Drosophila melanogaster: one gene and its partners. The protein of the gene in region 4 interacts with the protein of the main gene of each other region in a pairwise test. Each region holds a gene or a part of one and is shown on either strand. Other genes may lie near its edges.

The links.
Region 1: the proteins of Tsp42Ek (region 4) and CG10321 interact in a two-hybrid assay, tested with the Drosophila melanogaster proteins (one large-scale study listed by BioGRID).
Region 2: the proteins of Tsp42Ek (region 4) and CG12576 interact in a two-hybrid assay, tested with the Drosophila melanogaster proteins (one large-scale study listed by BioGRID).
Region 3: the proteins of Tsp42Ek (region 4) and zf30C interact in a two-hybrid assay, tested with the Drosophila melanogaster proteins (one large-scale study listed by BioGRID).

The regions. Positions count from the first base shown.
Region 1 is NT_033778.4:21,632,835-21,638,984, reverse strand, and holds CG10321 (uncharacterized protein), read right to left. Parts: upstream 4,307-6,150; 5' UTR 4,004-4,306; intron 3,605-4,003; 5' UTR 3,582-3,604; coding exon 1,074-3,581; coding exon of another isoform or gene 1,014-1,073; 3' UTR 586-1,013; downstream 1-585. Other genes in the region: CG15674 (uncharacterized protein), read right to left, coding at 4,815-5,618, 5,676-6,020.
Region 2 is NC_004354.4:22,479,349-22,484,376, forward strand, and holds the start of CG12576 (uncharacterized protein), read right to left. Parts: upstream 3,010-5,028; 5' UTR 2,757-3,009; exon of another isoform or gene 2,734-2,756; intron 2,680-2,733; exon of another isoform or gene 2,567-2,679; intron 1,551-2,566; 5' UTR 1,247-1,550; coding exon 1,164-1,246; intron 1-1,163. Other genes in the region: Cp110 (centriolar coiled coil protein 110kDa), read left to right, coding at 3,389-3,402, 3,494-3,674, 3,739-5,028.
Region 3 is NT_033779.5:9,756,422-9,762,885, forward strand, and holds zf30C (zinc finger protein 30C), read left to right. Parts: upstream 1-1,920; 5' UTR 1,921-2,328; coding exon 2,329-2,332; intron 2,333-3,258; coding exon 3,259-3,632; intron 3,633-3,699; coding exon 3,700-5,078; intron 5,079-5,143; coding exon 5,144-5,720; 3' UTR 5,721-5,954; downstream 5,955-6,464. Other genes in the region: Taf11 (TBP-associated factor 11), read right to left, coding at 6,101-6,422.
Region 4 is NT_033778.4:7,040,775-7,045,224, forward strand, and holds Tsp42Ek (tetraspanin 42Ek), read left to right. Parts: upstream 1-1,898; 5' UTR 1,899-2,257; coding exon 2,258-2,317; intron 2,318-2,943; coding exon 2,944-3,102; intron 3,103-3,171; coding exon 3,172-3,333; intron 3,334-3,434; coding exon 3,435-3,629; intron 3,630-3,685; coding exon 3,686-3,757; 3' UTR 3,758-3,936; downstream 3,937-4,450. Other genes in the region: Tsp42Ej (tetraspanin 42Ej), read left to right, coding at 795-956, 1,011-1,373, 1,806-1,898.

The DNA of each region.
Region 1 (6,150 bases), about 15 Mb from region 4:
CTGGAAAATTAAGGGCGGTAAGTCGAAGGTATGCGTCATATTTGTAAGCGGAAAACCAAACCTTTATCTTATCTTGCGAAACGCGGCTGACCGCCATATATAATCTGAACAAAACAAATAAACGCCTGGCGATTTTAGCTGTCACAATGTTATTCCAATTGATTATTTTCGCGGCTTATTTGCTAATTAATTAACAATTTCTTGTGACAGCCGGAGATTTCAGACTGCGATCAGATAACCGATTATTGGGGGGTCACTTTTTATGGATAATATAATATATATGTATGTACATGTACCTAAATCACACTAATAGGCATTTACAGATTTACATAAGCATCCATACGCGAATCGTAGTTATCCAGATACTTCCCATAACCGGATGAACGCGACACGTGGCAATTGGGAATCAATAGACAAGACCTTGGCTTGATTGTTGTTTTCTTTCGATCAATTTTGTTTGGGTTCTGTTTTTTCCCGGTCTTCTGTCAATGCAATTGAACAACAAGCCAACAAAGCCAGCGAATTGGATTACACGCTTAAAAATAAATATTACCGGCCAGATGGGACGTACAAGAAAGACAAATTATGGTTTCATAGAAGGTTTGTTAATTTATTTTGTTGTTCAGTTAAAACAAATTCACTTATTTCAAAGCCCAACAATGAAAACCCAACGCCAAAATACGTTTAGCCTAAAATGCCAGTCTGTATTCCCCGGGAAAACAAAATAATAATAGTAGGGTAATAAAATTAAAAACAAAAACTGGCACAGTCCACGCAGGATTTATGCCCCAAGCGTTTGGATGTGAGGATCCGCCTCGATCTGCCTACCTAAAGTTTCGTATCTGCTTACAAAATTCGAGTGAATCGCTTAGGTCCTACTAAACAAGTTCTACGACAGAAATCTAGGATTGCAATATTTGTGTAGTTGTGCTTATTCCTAAATTGTTATCTAGACGGGGGTAGTACAAAAATATATATATATATATGTATATATATTACATCTAAGTGGTCATCTAAATGCCGAGCAGGCACTCGCCGTTTCCAGGAGCGCCCGCTGCGGCAAACTCCGCTGGCTACGCCTGCGTCACGAAGTACACCTCGCCGGATGAGCCCATGACCACGGCGTGGGTATCGCCCGTGCCGCCGGCCAAAGTCGTACCCTGGCCGGTTGCCATCATGTTCGACATGTCGGTGGTGCCGTTGCTGACGATGCTTACCGCCCCGCTGAAAGCATCGTCCTGGCCACTGATCTGCACCTCTGCACTGTGATCCGTGCTCTCCACATGCAGCTGCAGTGAGTCCACGTTGTCGTACAAAGATCCGCACTCGCCGCACTTGAACAGCGGATCCACAACCTCCGGATGCTTGCGTTCTACGTGCCACTTGAGGTTCACCGCGGACGAGAAGTTCTTTCGGCAGTTGGCCACGCCGCAGCAATACGCTCTCTGCTGGTGCGTCTGTCTGTGCCTGTACAAGATCGCCTTGGACTTGAAGGTTCGATTGCAAATGGTGCACATCGGTGTGCTGGATTCAGCGTCGTGCGTCTTCATGTGCATCCGCAGCATTCCTGGGCCCTTAAAGCTCTTTAGGCAGATCTGGCACTGCGGCTGTTTCTTGCAATTGGCCCGTATCCAGTTGGTGTGGGAGTGCATGTGGTTCTGCAGGCCCTTGAACTGCCGGAACTCGGTGCTGCACAGGTGACAAATGTATCTCCCAGATCCCAGAGGCGAGGTGTGCTGTCGTATGAACTCAGTTACCAGATTAGCATCTATTTCGTAGTTGTCGTCCGCACCGGCGGCTGCAATCACGCTGGCCGTCTGCACCAACTGGCGAGAGTTGGCTGCGGCCAGCTTGCTGCTGGTCGTTGATCCAGCGGCAGGTGGTTGGTGGTCGCAGGGTTCCAGAGTCACACCGGCTGGAATTTGGTGGTTACTTCGCTTGGCTCGCTTTGGCGTCGGACTGGCCGAGCTGACGGTCATAGTGGGACCCACCAGGGCTTCCGTTGTAGTTGTGGCCTGGCTGAACTCTACAACAGCGTTCTCCAGTGATATGCTCTGCATCTCTTCTTGGTGCTGCTGATGATGCGACTGCTCAGAATCCATGAATGCCTGGTCAATGTCCACACTTGTCTCGCCATCCGGCGGCTCCATAATGGAATACTCCAGATCGTCGTCTACGTCGCCGGACAAATGCGGATCCTGTTCCTCACCGATGTACTCACAATCCTGGTCGATTTCCTCCCCATCCGGATCATCGAGCATCTCGTCATCCTCCAGCTGAATCTCCTCGATTATGAACGTATCCTGGTCCTCTTCGGGCTTCATTTGCTCCTCCTCGTCTTCTATCTCGTCCATTGCTTGCTGTTGGTCCAAATCGTCGAAGTACTCATGGTCTTGGCTTTCACTCTGCGTGAGATCCTCGTTGATCATTACTTGGTGGTGCTCGTGGTGGTCCTTTAGGAAGTCCTGCTGCTGATCGTCGTCCAGTACAATAGTCTCAAAGCTGTGATCTGCCTTGCTATCCAGTTGCTCGTACACATCTTCCAGTTCCTCGTCTTCCACCTCACAGCCGTCCTCCAGCAACTGCACGTCGGCATCACCGAGAGAAGCGCCTACATGCTGACCCATATCCGTGGCGTTGGTAGTTGTGGTCACTGTCGTGACTCCGGTCGGAGCCAAACTGCGTTGCGGCACAAGTTGAACCAGCTGCAGGGTCTGCGTGCCATTGGGCTGCTGAACAATCTGCAACGTCTGTCCGTTCGGCGTCTGTAGAAGCTGTGGCAGGAATTGCGATTGCGCAGCGGTGGCCTGACCATTAGTCGTTGACTGCGGCGCTGTGCTGATGATCTGCGCCAACTGCGGCGCTACAATCTGAGCAGTCGTTATCAATTGGCCGTTGGGCAACAGGATCTGCTGCGGCATAGTCGTGGTGGCACCGGCAGCGGACAGTAGCTGGGCGGGAGCAGGCTGAAGTGTGGGCATATGAATCTGCTGGATCTGCTGCTGCATAGTGGGCTGTTGCGGCGCATGTTCCTGCATTAATTGCATCTGTGGCTGAGGGGCGGGCTGCGGGACTGACTGTGGTGCTGGTGCGGCCTCCAAATGCCTCTGCTTCTGCTGGCGGGAGCCCTTGCGGAGCAGCGGCTTCAGTTTTGGTTTGGCAGGAGGCTGATGCTGTTGCTGCTGGACTATCTGCTGCTGGAGTTGCTCCTCGAGGATTTTCTGTTGCTTCTGCAGCTGTCGCTGTTGCTTCCGCTCCAGCTGAAGCTGCTGCTTAGCGTTTGCCGCCTCCTGCTGCTGCTGCTCCTCCATTACCAGTGCCACGGTAAGACCGCGGATATACTCGCGCAGCTCCTTGTCGCTGCGCTCGACGAGCGTCTTGAAGGCGTGATTCCGGCTTACGGCGTGGACGCACTGCACGCAGATCTTGTCCGGCCAGCCCTCCGTGGGCTCCACCCGCACGCTGGTACAGTCCATCAGCATTTCGGGCACCTTTTCGCTGAACAGCGGGCGCATCTCCTTGCGCTCCGAGATGCACAGGCGGCAGATCTTGTCAAGCTCCAGGACCTTCTTGCGATCCATCACTTCGTGTTCCTAGGGGGAGGCTGCAATGGGCCAGTTTTTTTTAATTTAAAATAACCATTAGAATGAGCGGATCCCCGAAAGGTGCATGAGTACGAGGTTTGTTATGATTTGCCCGCCAAAAAATGGTCAATTAAAATTCAGAATAATTTCATCTGTTGTAAAATGACCTGCTAACCCGCTGTTAATAACAGGGACTGTCGACACGTCTGGTAGCTCTTGTGCCAGACAGAGACAGCCATATTGTTATACACAATTTACCATCTTGGTGTTGGTGTGAGCGAAAAATGCGATTTTTAGGCCCAAAAAACGAAACAAATACATAATTCCCGACTTGAATTGGGTAAATATTGTTTTCGATTCACTTGCACCCGCACTTAGAGCACCTTTCGACCGGGTTCCCGCAACAAAAATGAACTCACCTGCGCTGTATTTATGTAATTTTCGCAGCTCGCCCCACATTCAACACAAAAAACTCTTTAAATATGGCCGCGTCACACAAATCGCATTCGGAACTCACATATTTGTGGTTCAGGGCGAAACACACACGTTCCCAGAGATGCGAACTTCAAAACCAAAACAAGTGCACACCAGTGGGTCTTTCGGGACCCTGATCGAATGAAATCACTAGCTATCTCTGGCGACGTTATCAATAAGGTTCTTCCATGAGATGAATGAATTGATGAACTGAACTTCTGCCTCTATCTGTCTTTCTCTGTGTGCGAGTGTGAGTGAGATGATAGGCGTGTTGTGAATGGCGCTGCCAACGTGGTATAAAGACAGAAATCCCTAACGCATGCCGGTCGGAAATCATTTTGTTTATTTCCTCAGATTTCTAGATTTCTTTTTAATACTTAAAACTTCTTATGTTTAAGGCATGAAATTCCATTGAAACTTACCTTTTCTCTATTTACAACTTAGGTTTTTGATGTGGGTCCTTCAGCTCACAAGTCTCTTTAATTTCTCGATTTTAGAGCCATTCCTTGCCGTTCATACCAGGGGATTTCTTTACATATTCAATGAAACACACAACAGTTTTTTGACTCACATTAACATTTTCAAGCCGAAATTTTTAATAAATCTAACCCAAAAAACGAACACACAAATTTTAATTCGAGGACATAGCAATTGAGCTGCCAACTCGTTTTTTAAACTGACATTTCGAACTGAAAACACCTGTTGATCCTGGTGTTATTTTCTGATTTAGAAAACTTAACTTAATGTCCATAATTTTTAGGCGGGTGGAGGCACATTCGTGTTGGCCACTTCGTACATGTGGCGCTTCTTGGTTCTCCTGTTGTGAGCGCTTACTACAATGTATATGCCCAGGATAATAGCGAGGGCCAAAAGCAGACAAGTAATCACAAACCAGCAGTAGAATCCTGGACCTTCCTCATCGTAATCCTCTTCCTGTGCGTTCTCCCACTCGGTATAGTTGCCCGATGGATCCTCCCTTATCTGGCCAACCTTCGGCTCTCGGAAAAGCGAGGCCTTGGCCAGGTTGCTAGACTCCGGAGCCATGAAAACCGGCTCCGTATAATCTATTCGGATGAAGGTGAGCCGGGCCCCGGTCAGAGTTTCCTTATAGCGTCTCAGCCCATGGCCATAGTACTCGTATATGTCGGCGTCGAACTCCCGATGCTGGTCTACCCATTGACCAATCACCTGCACCTTCACCTCGCTCCTGGGGTCCATGCTTCGTCCGAAATAGGCTTTTTCCGCAACATCCAGGCCACCCATACCATACAAGTCCAACTCGAGAACAGAGGACCGGTGCTCGAAGAGCAGAGGCAGCCTGGATAGCTTCCTATGCTGGTACACACTGGACATGTTCACAAGGATCTTCTCCACAAAATCGTAGTTCAGGCTACCGTAAATGGGCTTACGTTCGCCACTGGGATTTCGGAGCACACTGTCACCCAGGTGCATCTTGTAGCTGTTAGTCACATTGCGCCACGGCAGGTAAGTAATGTTCCTCAGCTGGTATGCCAAAGGTTCCAGTTCCACCAGTACGTTAATGTTATCCTCAAGACCATACTATAAAGATAACATATTTGTAGGACATCAACCGAACCATCTTCCCGAGGAACTTACAAAGTTATCGCCAAAAATCATGACCACACAGGTGAACAGATTGTCGGACACCGCATTGACAAGATCCGTGTGTCGGAAGTGACAGAGCTCTGTCTTCTCCCGCTCCACGTTCGTGGCCTTGGCAATGTATGTCAGTCGCTCCTTGGGATTCAGCTCGGCCGCATAGTTCTTGAGCACGGTGTGGTAGGGAATCCAGGCCAGGACCGAATCACCTCCGTTGGCGCACACCTCCGTCTGAACTCCCCTTCCAGTCAGTTCTCCGTTGCGCAGCCTAAAAAAGTGATGGTTATCTCGCCTGATTGTGGTGGAGCCATGATCTGCGCACAGGGTGTCCACGAGGTTTGCCTGGAAAATGAAGAGATAAAAGTAAAAGACTGAAACAAACACCTTGTTCGTATATAACCACCGTCTTCGGCTTATCTCAGGTCCGCCGGCATTATCTTCTTCAGCTGCGATGGACACTTTGTCACTTTAT
Region 2 (5,028 bases), on a different chromosome or scaffold from region 4:
GGGGCCTTTCAGTCAGCTAAAACGAAGGTGCAAGCACGTACAAAAGATCGCCGGCATACACACAGCAACCAACAGCGGAGCCTAAGTCAATAGAACTGATTTATAATCAGCGGAATTGAACGGAAATTGATACACTTTTTATCAGTTTAACAAGTGCGCAAACAAGTTATAATACTACTTTTAAAAATTGCCCAGTCTGATAAATAAACAGTAATCACGTTTAGTTTCACAAGTTGTGGATATTACAAAAAAAAAAAATGCATTTTTGTAGTTTTAATAAAAGAATAAATAAATAGGAACTAAAGAAAGGACCACAAACCACAAAATGCTAATTTCGGGCGCTTTTTAAATGTGTGCTTCACGGTCTTGGCCATAGCTGTATTTGGATGGCCATGTGCATGCACATGAGCTTCATTTCGGTGCGCTTTTACATACATACATATGTGGAACAATCTTTGTGTGCACACACATATATTCCGAAAATAAAACATTGCAACTTTCAGTTCGAAATTGGCCACGCAAAGAGGTTCTTTCTTTCTTTCCTACCTACAGCTCCACAATTTGTCTTGTGTGACCGACCATACGATTTTACACAGTATATTTTACATATTCACTTTGCTGCGCAGCTTTCTTTCAATGGGAACGAGACTGAATTGGCTGGGAAGAAATTCGGACCCGCTCGACCCAATTAAAATGTACATCATTTAGTGCGTAAATATACGCACTACGTGTCGCTATTTATTGAGATTACTGCCCTAATTAAAACCCGCCGACAATTGTTAACTTTTAACAGAAATCAGATTACAACTATGGACATTCATCCAATGTACCTGTTTCACATTTTCCAAAAACGGACGGACTCCCCGTAATGCCTACAAATTTTATTGTTTTTTATTTGTTGTCTTATTCCTCAAATTTAAACGCCGCACGTTTCAAACTTATCGATCAACGAAAATTGCCACTTTTACCAGTAATTAAGTACTAAGAACTATCTTGCCAATAAACTCTGATTGTGCCTATCTACTGAATTGAAAACTATAGTTTTAAATATGGGCTTAGAAGGGTCTTAAGATTCCCCTTTTTTTTTTGATACGAGGTCAGTTTTCTAGGAAAGCTGGATCAATTAATGGCAAAATTCTGGATGGATTGTTACTTCGACTTACCATGACATTAGGACGACTGTGACAACGGCTGCCGCTATGCAGTGGAACGTGGATCTTGACGGACGGGGCAGGACTTGGAACATTTTGTATGGGAGTAGCACCAAGATAGCACTTTGGAATCGCTTTTGTGGGTTGTGATTTCGATTTTCAGCTCCCGCGGTTGGCGGACTGATTTCCTTTCCGCTCCGCGATTTTAGGCGACTTCCGGTTCCCTTTCGCTGTCAAGTTTCGCTTGTTGTACGACACAATTACTTTACCGTTATGCCAGGTTCTGGGTCAGCTGTGCGCATGGGCAGAGTAACTGTTTTCGGTTTGCTCTCTTTGCTTTCGTCCTTCCCCTCTTTTATACCATCACTATGATTGCTCTTTGTTGAAAATCCGCGACTACTGCGTAGAAAATAAAATAACAATATTTATATGTAACTGTTGCATGAGCATTATTTCGGATACATGGCAATTTACCAAAATGTTTTTGTCATGTTTTTCTGGCTTTTGAGGCCCTGTCTCACTCACACAAGCGCACTTGTTTTCACAAACGTATACCGATTAAGAACAAAAAAAAACTCCGTAGTTCAGCATGGAAAAGGTGTCATTGGAACTGCGACTTTTCCACCAGTGATTAACCATTTAATTCGAAATACTTATTTCATCAACTTATTCCCTTGTTTTTCATAATTTATTGTCGCCGCCGTTGCTGTTGTTGTTGCTGTTTGCTGCTTGGCTTACCGGCTGTGTGCGAGTGAGACAGCAATGCAGCGTGGGAGAGGACGAAAGCAAGCATGTGGAAGAGAAACAGAGAGCGAAGCGCGTGGAAAAGTTGTAATAATAATAATAAGAACGGAGCCAAACACTAACGCCCAACTGAGCAGCAACAACAGCAACTACAGCCATACAAAACGTAAAAAACACCAAGTTGTTTGGCCTTCGATGTCTTTTTCAATTGCGTCGCAGAATGAAACACAAAAAAAAAAACAATACAGAAACACCACACTCAGCGTGTGTATGCATATGTACACATATATGTGCGAAACTTTGCGCTTTTTGTTTTTGTTTTCCTTACACTTTTACCGTATTTTTATAAAGGAAAGGGGCTAGGAATAAAGTTAGGGGTAAAAATTACTTGTATTCTACTTAAAAAACAAAGCTGATACTGTTGAAAAAAAATTGCACTCCCATCTCACGCACACACACACGACTGCATCTACAATGCAACTTTAAAGAGAGAAATCTGGAGCAATATAAACCGCAAATAGTTCATATTTGAAGTACAAACTCAGTTTTGCGGACGTTCTTTGCAAAAACGGTTTTAGATCGTTTTGTAACTAGATAACACACACACATAACATATGCAAACAGAAGTTACGAACACAACATATCGACAAGCTGTAATAGAACTCGCATACTTTTCGCTATAGCTGGTGACTTTCGAAAATATTATGTTGACTCCCGAATTCCAGGCAAATTCGATCGCGCCAGAGCAACAATCAGCGCAAAAAAACACATCCAGTGAATGTGACCGCGCGCACGGCGAAGGAAAATACCATCCGGCGCAAATCAAATACCAAAATGTACCACACCAGTTTCGATAACCACCTAGTAAACTGTTGAATTCGGCCAGCTGTTTCAAATTAGTTTGTTAAGAACCAATAAAAGTTAAGTTTTCGCAGACAATGTTTCTTTAATTTTGACAAGATTTTGAAGCATACGAAATATACAATATAAGTTCCTGAACACTAATTTAATCCACCGTTTTCTTTACTATAATTCTGGAAGGACTGAAAACTTGTTCCTCTGCTAATCTGTGGAGTCCTCAAATTTTCTCTAAAAACGCTACTTCCAAAAGTCCGGTTATCGATATCTGACGTCAGGGCTGCATGGACTTCGTGTGAGTTTTGAATTGCCGTTTGAAAATAAATGTTTTCCCCAGCATTAAAGCAGCATTTCTCATTGGCTCTTGATGGTAGCTGCGATCCACGGTAGAAACATTGAATACAAAACTCTCAACGATTCGGGATATCATTTGATTGATGTAATGAACTCTTCAGAGGTTTCCTAATTTTTGGCGGGAAGTCGAGGGCTCCCTAGTGCCATCGTCATCTCTAATGGCAACTAAAACATAGCAGACATTTAATGAACTTTCACAAAACACCTAGATTCAGCTGACCTCTGAGAAGGCTTCCTGACATTTCGACGTCCCAACAAAAATTCCCAGTAGCAAAACACCAATGGATGCGACGTGGTGAGTGGGTCTTGGGATTTTATGAATCCCGGTTGCTTACGGGCTTCTAATTACTGATTTTGCTCAATCTAATGCTTCTCCAATTAAGCAGGGCAATGGAGCAGCTGCTGTCTGCAGTTGAGATGGGAGGTAGCCACAGCGAGGCCACCACACCAACGGCCACGACCACCATATCGATCTGGAGCGCCCCCTCCGAGGGCAGTGGCTCTAGTTCCATGGACCCTGTCTCCTTTCGGTTCCACTTGGACGGGCAGCCTATACTGCCACCGCTGGTGATTTAAATTCTTGGTCAGGGAGTGGCATTTACTGAGGCGTAACCATTTTACTTTGTTCCAGATGACGAGCGCCAAGAAGCGCGAGGTGCAGCTGGCCCGCCAGATGGCAGAAGCGCTGGAGAAGCGGTACCGCCTGGCCAGACACTCGGCGGGATCCGACATGGCCAGTAGGAGAAGTGTGTCACAGCTGCAGCAGACAGAAACGTTAATCTATGACAGCACACGGGGCCAGGCTCGTCCTCAGACTCTGGTCTTTGGCAAACAGTTGCCCACCATACAGGTGGATCCTCCCACGCCTCAACCATTTGTGAAATCAATAGAAAACACTTCCCCAAGGCGGCATAATCGCATTACCGATCGTATCCTGCAGTTCGAGCAGTCGGGACTGGGTAAGCTGCTGCCCAAAGTTCCAGATAAGTGTATCCTGCGCACAAGTCCTGCGGTAGCCGAAGACCAGCAGGATCAGGATACAAAGGACACAACGGCAAGGGAGCTCGGCAGTCCACTGGCAGAACCAGCTAATTTTCAGCGTTCGAGAAGTTTCACACTAGAGGAGCCCTCCCAGGTTCTCGTGGAGCACATGGAGAGGGAGGCCCTGGCTGTGAAACCCAGCCAGAGTTTGGCCAACTTCGAGAAGCAGACCATCGAGTCTCAGGCCAAGCGGGTGAACCGTAGTGCAAGGAGTATTAGCAGCAAAATTAGCCACAACAGCTACAATAGCAACAGTAGCGCCGCAACCAAGAGCACCATCGCCACTAAAACCACAACCGCCGGCAGCAGCTGTTCTAGGCGGGATCGCGAGGTGGAGCGTATAATAGAACGGGCGCTGGACGAGCATGGCGCTTTGGAAGCCAGCCGCAAGGCAGGAGTGCGCAACTATCTGCGTGGCCATCGGGAGCGAATGAATCAATTGGTCATTCACCAGGAGAAGGAACGTCGTCGCATGCAGGCCGAGTTTGATCATCAGCAGCGTCAGCTCATAGAGGAACTGTGTGCCGAAATTGATGTTTCCTCGGCCACCGAAAATCCTGACAGTCTGATATCGCAAAGCACCAGTACGGGAGACCTGCAGCGTTTTTCCCCCTCGCCTACGTTACCCTCCTTTTCAGAGGACATAGAAGACTTTCCGACGATGGAAGACAAGTGCCAAATTGCGGGGCCTTCTTCCGCTCGCAAGAGGCTGTTTAGTCCAAAACCATCAAAGGACTCGGAACCGCAGCTGCTCAGTGCCCCCAGCACACCGCGATCGTTGCCCCTCCGGAACAGCAGCTTAACCAATAGCAGACGAAGTGTCCAAGTTGTCCGGCGCCGATCGCAATCTGTGGGCGGTAGTCTAGTAAAAACAATCACC
Region 3 (6,464 bases), on a different chromosome or scaffold from region 4:
TTTTTTACCCATGTTGACAGTAATGGTGTTGTTCTTGTTGTTGCCCGTGTGCGTAGAAGGACGCATCAGCAACGTTAACAATTTGCACAAAGTGCTTAGACATGTGAGGATGAAAACTTTTCTTAAGGCTAACTTACGTGGCAGTGGCAGATGAGGTAAGGAAGTAAAGAGAAATCCCACCACCTGGAGGGGAAAAGTATTGGGTCAGCTTAAAGGGGAGCTTCCGCCGTTTCTCGACATGCACGTATGTAATCCCACCTATTGATAGACTTGTTCTTGCCGAAAGCAAGTTACATTTTTAATTGTCTATCAAAGGGGGCTATTTATAAAACAAAAGATTCCGAAATGTCCTTGCTGCTGACTAATCTCAAGGGAGGACATGGCTGGCGAACTGAGAGAGACATTGGCAGGGGTCAAAGGGCAGGGGAAGGAGAATAGGGGGCCTTCCCCACACAACAATGTGTGTATATATGTATGCATTTTTAATGAAATTTGCCGACGATTTGCGCTCGAAAGCAATTTTGAAGCCCAAAAACGGAGGCAGCAACAGTTGCAACTGCAACACACACGCAAGCACACACTCCGCTGTTGTTGCTGCTCCTGCTGCAGGATCACGTGTGCGGCATACGAAAAATTAATGCAAATTTGCATAATAAACAAACAAAATAAGCGGCGAGGATGGCAGGACTTGCAGGACCAGTGGCAGAATTGATTAAGTTGTTGGTGTGCAATTTGTGTGTTGACTTTGCTGGCACAATTTCAGCCACATCATATTCACCATCTCCTTTAGAGAATCAAAATATACACCATGCTATATAGTTTATTGTTTTATATGCTGTTTATCAAATTGTGCATCTTCTTAAAGCTACTCTCTCAGCATTGACCTTCTGCATTTGTTTGCCCCCCCATATGCATGCAAATAAACAACACATATCTCACACACACACACTCGCACATCAAGTCGGGCTAACACCGACATTGACGTCACCTTTGCTTACTCGTGGGCTGGGTTAAATTGCCGGCACAGAATTGTAATCAGCTTCGAGCCCAATAAACTGCATGAGTGTAAATTTCCGGAATGTAATCGCCCCCAAATCAAAATAGAGTACTCGATGGCCTTCGAGCACTTAGATGGTACAATCGGGTATTTGGGCTGGAGGATTTGGGTATCAATAGCACACGGCTGGCAAAGGTCTAAATTGGGCACGGTCAGAGTTCAACACGGCAAAAATTCCAATTCCAATTAGAACACCAAGACGAGGTTTTCAAGTTTTTTGTAAACGTGTTCGTTTTAAATTTATTGGTTTAAAAAAGAGAAAAATGTTTGGTAAACATTAAAGACTTTAAACCTTTTTTGGATTAATAGTTAGTATTAACACTTTGTTTATGGTTTATTTATTAACTTATAAGAAAAATAGATAACAGTTAAAGAATAGTGAATTAATTAACGTATTATTATCATCTACGACGTCAATGGCTTAGAAAAGAAAATAAATAAAATTTAAAATATAGTTTTAAAGACTGATTTATTAAAACAATCCATGGCATTACAAGAAGTATTTGCTAAATTTGAATTTAAAATCGCCCGCCGAGAATCGGGCAATGCAACCCTGGATTGCGGCTCTCTCGCTGTGCAGTGAACAAAATTTGTGTATCTAATCGGCGAGTAAGTAGTATAACAAGCTCAAAGATTGGTCGGTTCCTTTCTGCATTATTTTACAGCTGTATTTTCATTAACAATTAGTTATGCTAAGGGAACTTAAAATTTATTTTTCAAAATTTTCAAACCGTGGAGGGGAAATTGCGCCACGACTTTAAACGCTGAGAATCCAAAATAAACGAGAAGAGCCGTACCGAACTGGTTCGTGGCAATGCTGGGGGCGAACCAGTTCCGACGCTCAAATGAGCGCTGCGACCAGGGCTGCATTGCCACCCTCGAGCTGCACAAAGAAAAATAATTTACTCGCCAGCAGCTCATTGGCGTTTTTTCATTTTTTAAAGTGTACTTAAGAGTTGTTAATATTTTTCGCAGTGCTCGGCCCGACCACAACAAACAATAATAGCCGAATAATAGTGTGAGTGAAAATGCGGCGAGCTGCATTCGGCGCAAAACCAAGTGTTCCGCAGCACCCAAAGCCCAAATCGAACAACTCGAAATCGGAATCAGGCGAAGCCATCATTAGCGAGACATTTGTATTTGTCTGACCCCTCAGCGGTGTCTGAGAATCTCGGAGAGTCGTCGTGGAGCGGTGTGGAGAGGAGAGAGCAGGAGCAGAAAAGGGCCCACAATCCAAGTCCAAGGAAGCACCACTCCGATACCGAACCGATATGGGTAGGTGTATACGGTCTATACGGTCTATACGGTCTATACGGTGTATATGGTGTACATGGTGTGTGTTGTATGTAGGTGGTGCATGTAGATATGTAGTCGTGAATCGCACGATATCGGGGGGTTAAGGTGGAGCCCCGTTTTGGGGTACAGCCGATGCAGGCCAACTAGGAGCATTTGTGCGTGATGCGCGCACTTCAAGTCGCTGTCCTGCCTACCTGCCCCGCCTCCCCCGTCACTTGCCCATCGACTCGGCGAACGCAACGCCACCAGGGCTGCAGCACAGCGTCGCTAATCGGCTGCCGTCGTCGGTGTTATTGTTGTTGTTGGAGGTGTCGGTGGTAGTGGTGGTGGGTTGCAAGAACGAATTGAATATCGAACAAAGGGCTCGTTGCCGATAGTTGGTTCGAAAGGAGACTTATGAATACATTCATTTTATGGCACTAAAATATGTTATGACCATTGGAAAACAGCTTTTATTATTTTTTTGAATCAAATAGAAATTGAAAATAATATAAATTGAAACCATTATTAACATAATAATGAATATCCTAAATTAATTTATAAACTTGAAAATTACAAATGTCATGTCAATTAATAATTTATCAGAAAGAAGCTGCTTATAAAAATTAAAGTAACCAAAAGAATAATAATAAAATTTGATAGTTTGCTTAAAACGAAAAAATAGAAAAAACGGAAGTCACTAGATCTAATTTGATTTACATAGTTATTATTATTGTGCACAATGCAGCTTCTTTACTAAACCCTATGATAAATATAAATACAATAATATTGCGACAAGTGCATTTAAGACAGAACTGAAAGACCCAGCCCTGGTAGGCGCATACAAACCCAAACCAACCGAAAATCAAATTTGCATTTGTTTACGTTCGCCCCAACATGCTATAATCTCAATTCCCCACTCGCAGAAACCGAGTCGATGGCTCCAAGCAGCAGTGCGGCGGCTGCAGCCACCAAGCTCCTGGTGGAGATCACCACCGACGGAATACCCAAGCTGCACTGCCCGGTGTGCAACAAGGCGCTGGTCTCCCTAGCCGGATATGTGAAGCACGTAAAGAAGCACCAGCCGCCGGGCGGCTTCGAGTGCCGTCACTGCGATGCTCGGTTTTGCCACGAGGAGGAGCTCACCCAGCATGCAAAGGATGAGCACGGAGTCACTGGCGCGGTAGCTGGACAGGAGCGAAAGCCTTTCGTTTGTGAAAAGTGCGGCGCGGAGTACAAGTACCAGGAGGCATACCGTCGCCACTGCAGGACCAAGTGTGGCGAGGAAAAGCTACCCAGGGTGAGTAGAACCGAAACAGTGGAACCGTTTGTAAATATATTAATAATAATTACTTTCTCTTCCTTAGGAGGAATCCCGACCAATGGAGTGCAAGTGCTGCTACACCCGCTTCTCTAGCGCCTCTAACCTATCCAAGCATCGACGCAGTCGTCCCGACACCTGTGGACAGCCGGAATACGATTCGCCCGGTTCATCCGATGGGATGAAGAAACATAAGGCCTTCCGCAAGAAGGACAGAAACAGGGACTCTGATGATGAAGATACCACCAGCGAAGAATCGGAAGATAGCGATGATGACATTCCTCTGGCCAGTCGTCTGAAGACGAAGCTCAAGCAGGAGAGCCAGAACTCGGACTCGGGCGACGAGTGTCCCGACTTCGAACCCAACAACAGTGAGGACGATGCGGATGCATCCGGATTCCAGCTTCCTCCGCCGGCTATGGTCAAGGTGGAGGCCTTCGACGAAGAAGATTTCGAGTACCAGGACGCCAGCATGTATGTGAAGACCGAAAGCACCGATATCTTTAGCAACGAAAAGGATAAGCTGCTGGATGTGCTGCTCAATGAGGGTGATGGCTTAAAGCCCTTTGAGAGCCTAAAGGTGGAACAGGGCGCTGGTATACTAGACGAAATCGCGGCCGTGCCGCTAGTGGAGGTTGCGGAAGAAGATGTCTTAGAACTGAGGGGTCATCAAATGGAAAAACCTCCCGGACCAAGAAAGCGGGGCAGACCGCCAAAGGAAAAGATACCTGTGGTCAAGAGAAAGTATCGCAAACGAAACGCACCTAGATCGCCCTCGCCTGACGATTCATCGGGTACACCAAAACGCGTAGCTAAGATCAGCAAAAAGGAGCTAAAGGAGCGCCTTAAGATGATCAACAAGATGGAAAAATCCTGGAAGTGTCCTCACTGCGTAAAAATCTACCACATCCGCAAGCCCTACGAAAAGCATTTGCGCGACGACCACAAGTTAAATGAGGCGGAAATGAAAGAGATCTTTAAGGACGTGGACGTCCATGCTAAGCTGGACGAGGAAGTCTTTAAGTGTCCCATATGCAGCAAGATCTATTTGGTGGAGAAGCGCTTGGTCACCCACATGAAGGTGCATGGCGAAGATGGCAAGCTGACTTTCAAGTGCCCATGCTACTGCAACCTCTTCTTCGCCACCAAGGAACAGGCCACTGAGCATGCTAGGGCCCAGCACAAGGAACTGCTCTACTGCGAAAAATGCGACAAGTACATGACCGGACACGACAGCCTCAAGAACCACGAACGCAATTTCCACTCGAAGAAGGAGCCGCGCAGCCAGCAGCGCAACCTCATCTGCGACAAGTGCGGCAAGAAGTTCACCGGACGCACATCGCTCTCTGACCACGTTCGTTCTGACTGCGGCCGTCTACCGCTCTACGGCTGCAGCGTTTGCGGCAAACATTTGTCCACCGCTGGGTAATAACTATTTGTGTTTGAATGTTTATTCTAAGACTGTTAGTAACGCATCTTCCTTTCCGCAGTATTCTCAAGACGCACATGCTCCTTCACAAGGCAGACACTCCGTACCAGTGCGATAAGTGCGGCAAAACATTCAAGGTGAAGGCGCAATACAAGTCGCACTTGAAGACGCGCCACACGGACTACAAGCCGTACAAGTGCCACCTGTGTCCCAAGGAGTATCCGTACAGGGAGAGTCTGCTCACCCACATGACCGTGCACACGGGCATTAAGCGTTTCCTGTGCAATAACTGCGGCAAGCGCTTCACTTGCATCTCCAACTTGCAGGCACATCGCAAGGTGCATGCCGATACCTGCGGCCAGTTGCCTTTGAATGCCAAGGCCACCCAGTACATGGGCGTGCAGCGCGGAAAACTCTTGATGGGCGCTAAGCCGGAGGCGGGCATGGAGTACGAGGAGACCAAGACCTTGATCGCCCAGGATGTCATCGACAGGGACATGCCCATGGCACAGGAGCTCAACTTCCCATCTGACGGCTCAGCGCCATTGGCCACGGTGCCCCTGAACTACGCCTCCACACACCTGGTGCCACACATCGTACTGCAGACCATGCAAGCCGAGGCCCGGCGAATGGAGTAACTTCGGAACACATTCATTTAGCGATCCCACTCAATAAAGATTCTTTTGTAAACGGATGCGTATTCTACTGTACAACAAATGGGATGACAACTACATAATAATATCTACTTAATGACTGGATTAATTAAATAACATTGAACGTAAATAAGCTACATAAAATTGATGTAGATGAAGGTTTAACGCCATACGGACCTGTCAAAAACATTTAAGAAAAATAAATTTCCTTATAAAAACACGTTTCGGAATTTATTCGTAATAGAGAAAATTAATTATATGGGATTTGTTAAAAAAATCTTTATATTTATTTACTTTTTACTTGTTTATGTATTTTTATATTGACTAACAGCCTTACAAACTATATTTCTTAATGTCTCGACTCGCTAGTTCAGTCTGAAATAGGGCTGCTGGTATCTGCCTATGGGCATCCGATCCTTGGTCCTCAGTCGTCGCACTGCCTCTCGTATGAATTTGGGCTGCAGGGCACCGGATTCACCTTGGGCCTCCATCACGTCGAGGGCTTCCTCCACAACCTCGCCGACGAAGACCTTCGCAATGCCGGACATGGCTATCACAACATTCTGGGACACGGAACAGCCGGTGATAGTTTGCATTAGACGCTTGACGGCGGCCTTGGGAAAGGCAGAGCGACGATACATTTCGTAGCGATCCAGCTGTTCTTCCGTAAAGTTGGAAACGAGAACCCTGGAGTGGAATAAAATAGTTTTTATAGGATTACCCCTTCGA
Region 4 (4,450 bases):
AATACCTGTTCACATACTTACATAATTCCGCCGGCCAGCTGTTTGTAATTTTTGCAATATCTATAAATGGCCCGCAATTCTGGGTGGCTTACGCCAATTAAATTCACTATTATATTATATAATTTATTCTTATACAATTATGCACATGGGACACTGTTTACAAATGTCAGAGATTGATTAAGCATGAAAGCATAAAATGTTCTTGCATTTGCATGCTATAGTCTCATAGATTTTCATTTTGGTGCTTAGCAAGTACAAATGCCAAATGCCTAATGCTCATTTTACCATAGTTTAGAAAACTAGTTGATGGATAGCTGGTAATGTCTGACTGCCAAATGTAAGTTGAAAAAATGACGCTGTAGACGCTAATGAATCGTGCTTGTATTTATTTATTTGGCACCCCAGCACTACACGTGCAATTTATTATTTAAAGTGCTTGTCGCGGCATTAAAATATTATTAGGTCAGTACAAAATGTATATTTAGACTTTGAAGCTGGCTGATCAACGATTTAATAAGTAACTTTCACCTATTAAAAATAATAAACCCTAAAACTATTACGCCTTATCGGTAGGTGTTAAATAATAATGCATTCCATATAGCTAGTTCCTGAAGTTCATACGCACAACCTTGGCAAGTAATTTATTAAGTTATTGGGGCCACACTTTTAGTTTTAGTTTCTAACTCTGCGAGAAAGATGTTCGTTCAAGAAGAAATAGATTAGGAAGTAATTTAGTCCATAATTTTCCTTAGTACTAAGGACTTAACTAACTATTTTGTTTCCCTTTCGTTCAGACGTGCAACGTGTTCTTCTTCTCCTGTGGCGTGACCACCTGGGGTTCGGCCGTCTCCGTCTACGGCAGCTATGGGTCGGCACTTTGCGGAGGAGCAGTTTTCGGAGTCGCCTTCCTGGGCATGTACGTGGCCTTGAAGGTGTCGTACAAGTATTCCATATACGTGAGTAAACTGCGTTCACAACTGCAAGTCACAGACTAACCTCTTTGCATTCAGTACCTAATTTGCAGTGGCCTGGTTATAGCCGCCCTGGGCTCCTACCTCTTCACCTTCACGGCGATGCGGGAGCAGCTGATGGGCAGGTTCGAGGAGCGCATGCGCGACCTCTTCGAGCGAAAGACCCACAGCGACGACAAGATGCAGCCAGTGCACAGCCTCTTCGGCTGCTGCGGCATTGAGGGACCGCAGGACTACCTTCAGGAGGAGCACGGCGCCCTGCCCAGCAGCTGCTGCTACGCCTTCGACTGCTCCAAGCCGGCGCACGTCTACGAGGAGGGATGCTCCACCAAGGCGGTAGCTACTCTGAGAATGCAGGCGGAGCTCAACTACTACAGCTGCATGGCGATCATTGCCCTCGAGGTGAGACATTAAACCATACGCAGGGTAAAATTCACTTGCCACAAGGGTACTTGAGCACAAGGGTATGTTTCGGCACGTCGCTTATGGAAGAGTTATCCAATAACTTTTGAATTAACGCACACAACTGACTCAGTGAACACATTTTAACTACTTTTTTATTCGTCACGCTTAAATAGAAATCCCTGCCAAGATAAGATGTGTGTTTTTTCATTCAAACCATTTTTGTTACTAAAGTTTTCTTTAAACTAAATATGTCAAAGGTGCGATCGTTACTATTTATGTACACAGTTGTTGAGCTTTTGCTTGATGTTATAAAGTTATAAAGTAGTAAGGACGTTAAGACAGTAAAATATTTTTTTAACAAAGTTCGCTTGTCTATTCGATTTCGATTCCATATCAATATTATATTATTACAATTTATGTATTTTTCAGTTTTTGGGCTTGTTCACCGCTTACCATTTGGGCAAGGCTCGCAAGTATGCCAAAACCAAGATAAAGGACGAGGAGACCCCCATCAACGACTGATGGCCGAGGATACCCCTGCATGATTATTGATAATAAAAATTAACCAAATTAGCTAAAATGCCATTAGAAAATAAATACTTTCCATAGCCTAAACGAGTTCCCCGCAGTTATATCTCTCTCTCATTGAATTCGGCATCATTCGGCTGCGAAGATCTGAAAAACAAAAGAACATTGAAGAGCGCAGATCGTGATTTTGGGATTTTACGTGCTGCCGGCAAATATTTGCATCTGAAATTCATTGTCTATCGGAACTCCGATCTGGCAGGTTCGATCATACAACAAAGATTACTCTCTATTACTAATTATTCAAGAGGAATTAGTTTGGAATTTTACAAAAACAGCTTAATCGTAGCACTAGGATGGGCTGCACTTCCGGTTGCGTTAAGTGTTTCCTTAACACTCTTAATACTCTGAACGCGGTGAGTTCTTAACATATGCATATATTCACATGCATATGAATAAAAATTGGTAATTCTGTGCTATAAGAATGTATTACAAATGTAAATTAGCCATCTGTGTTCCCACAGGAATTTAAATGAATACATTTTTCTGCAAATCGACAAGCAAGTACGCATTCCGTTTTCATGGAATCGAAAATTTGTTTGGCCAGTAAACGTAATTTGCTTGTCAGATATGTATGAGAAACATTTGCCGCACTTTAATGATTAGCCCCAACACATTCCAAATTCAATTTGTTTGATCTAGAAATGCTTTACGACTTTACCATATGCTGCGATTTGTACCATATTTACAATTTATGGAAGATTATGGAAGAAAACAAGATTTTTAACTGCCAAAAACTTGTTTTATCCATATCCTTTTAAAAATAACTCATTATTTAGCACTAAGAGAGCGAACGTTATTGTGAAACACCAAATCAAATAACAGAGATTCCAGTGCCCAGATAAACGGGAAAATCTAGTTTCTTCACCGCGGCATTTGATAATATTTTGAAAATACCTCAAGCTCCATTGGAGTCATTGACATTACCACCCGATATCATTGCCAAATGCTAATCTGAATTGACCCTATGCTCCCTCTGTAGCTTTCGGGTCTATCCCTGATAGCCATTGCAACGTTGGCCCTCTCGAAAGCCCCTATCGCCTACATTCTGTTTCTATATGGACTCGGTGGCATTATCTTCGTTTCGGCTGTACTGGGATGCTGTGGAATCTGCATGGAGAACGTGTGCATGACCGCAACGGTGAGTGGAAACGCTATGTCATCCGTTTGGTAATTCACTCACTCTATGTTGTGTGTTGTATGTCAACAGTACGGCTTCTTGCTGTTGGCTCAGCTAATAATCAGCTTGCTAGGCATCTTCCGCTTCAAGTTCACTGAGGAATACATAGAGAAGTTCGCCGCCGAGGAGGTTCAGATGAAATGGGACGAGGAGCTGGTGGAACCCGGCGCCATGGACATTTACCAGACAGTGGTTCGTATTCTGGCGAAGATCATTCGCATCATGCACTTTTAATCGAATATATTTAATATGCTGGCATTATCGTTTATCATTTTTATGAATTATCTTAACAGTACGAGTGTTGTGGGCGTGATAGCCCCGACGACTACGTGGCCATCGGTCGTCAAACCTTGCCGCCCAGCTGCTATCCCCAGGAGGACCCCCAGATGCCCCACTATCTAGCTGGTTGCGTCCAAAAGTCCAGTGAGAACTTTGTGGTGCTCTTCAGCTACGCCCACGATACCAACTGGATAGCACTGGGAATAACCGTGAGTGAAATGTGTGAACTACACATGGAGGGACTAATCTTACAGAGTTTTTACAGATTCTAATGATGATTGCCGCCTTTTACTTGGTCGGAAGATTCAGGAAGCAGCGCGTTCGCTACACCTACTAAGGAATACTTTCGTAGAATTCTGAATATATTATTAGGGCGCCAATATTCCTTTACAGTAATCTTGTATAAAGTTTTTGATGCTCCCAGGAGAAATAAAAGCGTATCCCGATGAAACGAATACTTCCGATTATACAAAGGGTTCAATCCGAACTGATTAAAATTGTGATTTTTAAACTAGTAACTTTGTATTTGTAACTATGTATTTGCCTAACAGGGTCAGTTCAGCTGTCTTTCGGTATATAGCTCCTATACTTTTAAGATTCACACAAAGTGAGCAATGCATTTAGGGTTTCTATTTTGATAGTGGAAGTCAGGATCCTGCACTCCGCATCGGAAACTGAGCTCATCCGGTGATGTTGATGGCGTCATTCAGTGCCGAGTGTCTGACGCAATCGAGCTGAATCAATCTTACCGGCATTAATTCGATCGTTGGTAAATTGCTTTGAGAGGCGGTGGTCGATTAGACCCAACTCCGCTCTCGATAAGACACACACCGCGGCTAAACATCTGGCAAACGGAGACATATAGATTTCGCTTCAGTTCTGTCAAGCATAACCAGCTCCACGCTTCGAACTTTCCCGCCTCAGTTTCTGTTTGGCTTCCGAATGGCGGGAGCCGCACTAGAGTGCCACCGCCACCTTTAACTTTCTTGATTTGCCTACTGCGAGTGCAGGCGAATTCGGCTAAATGGAT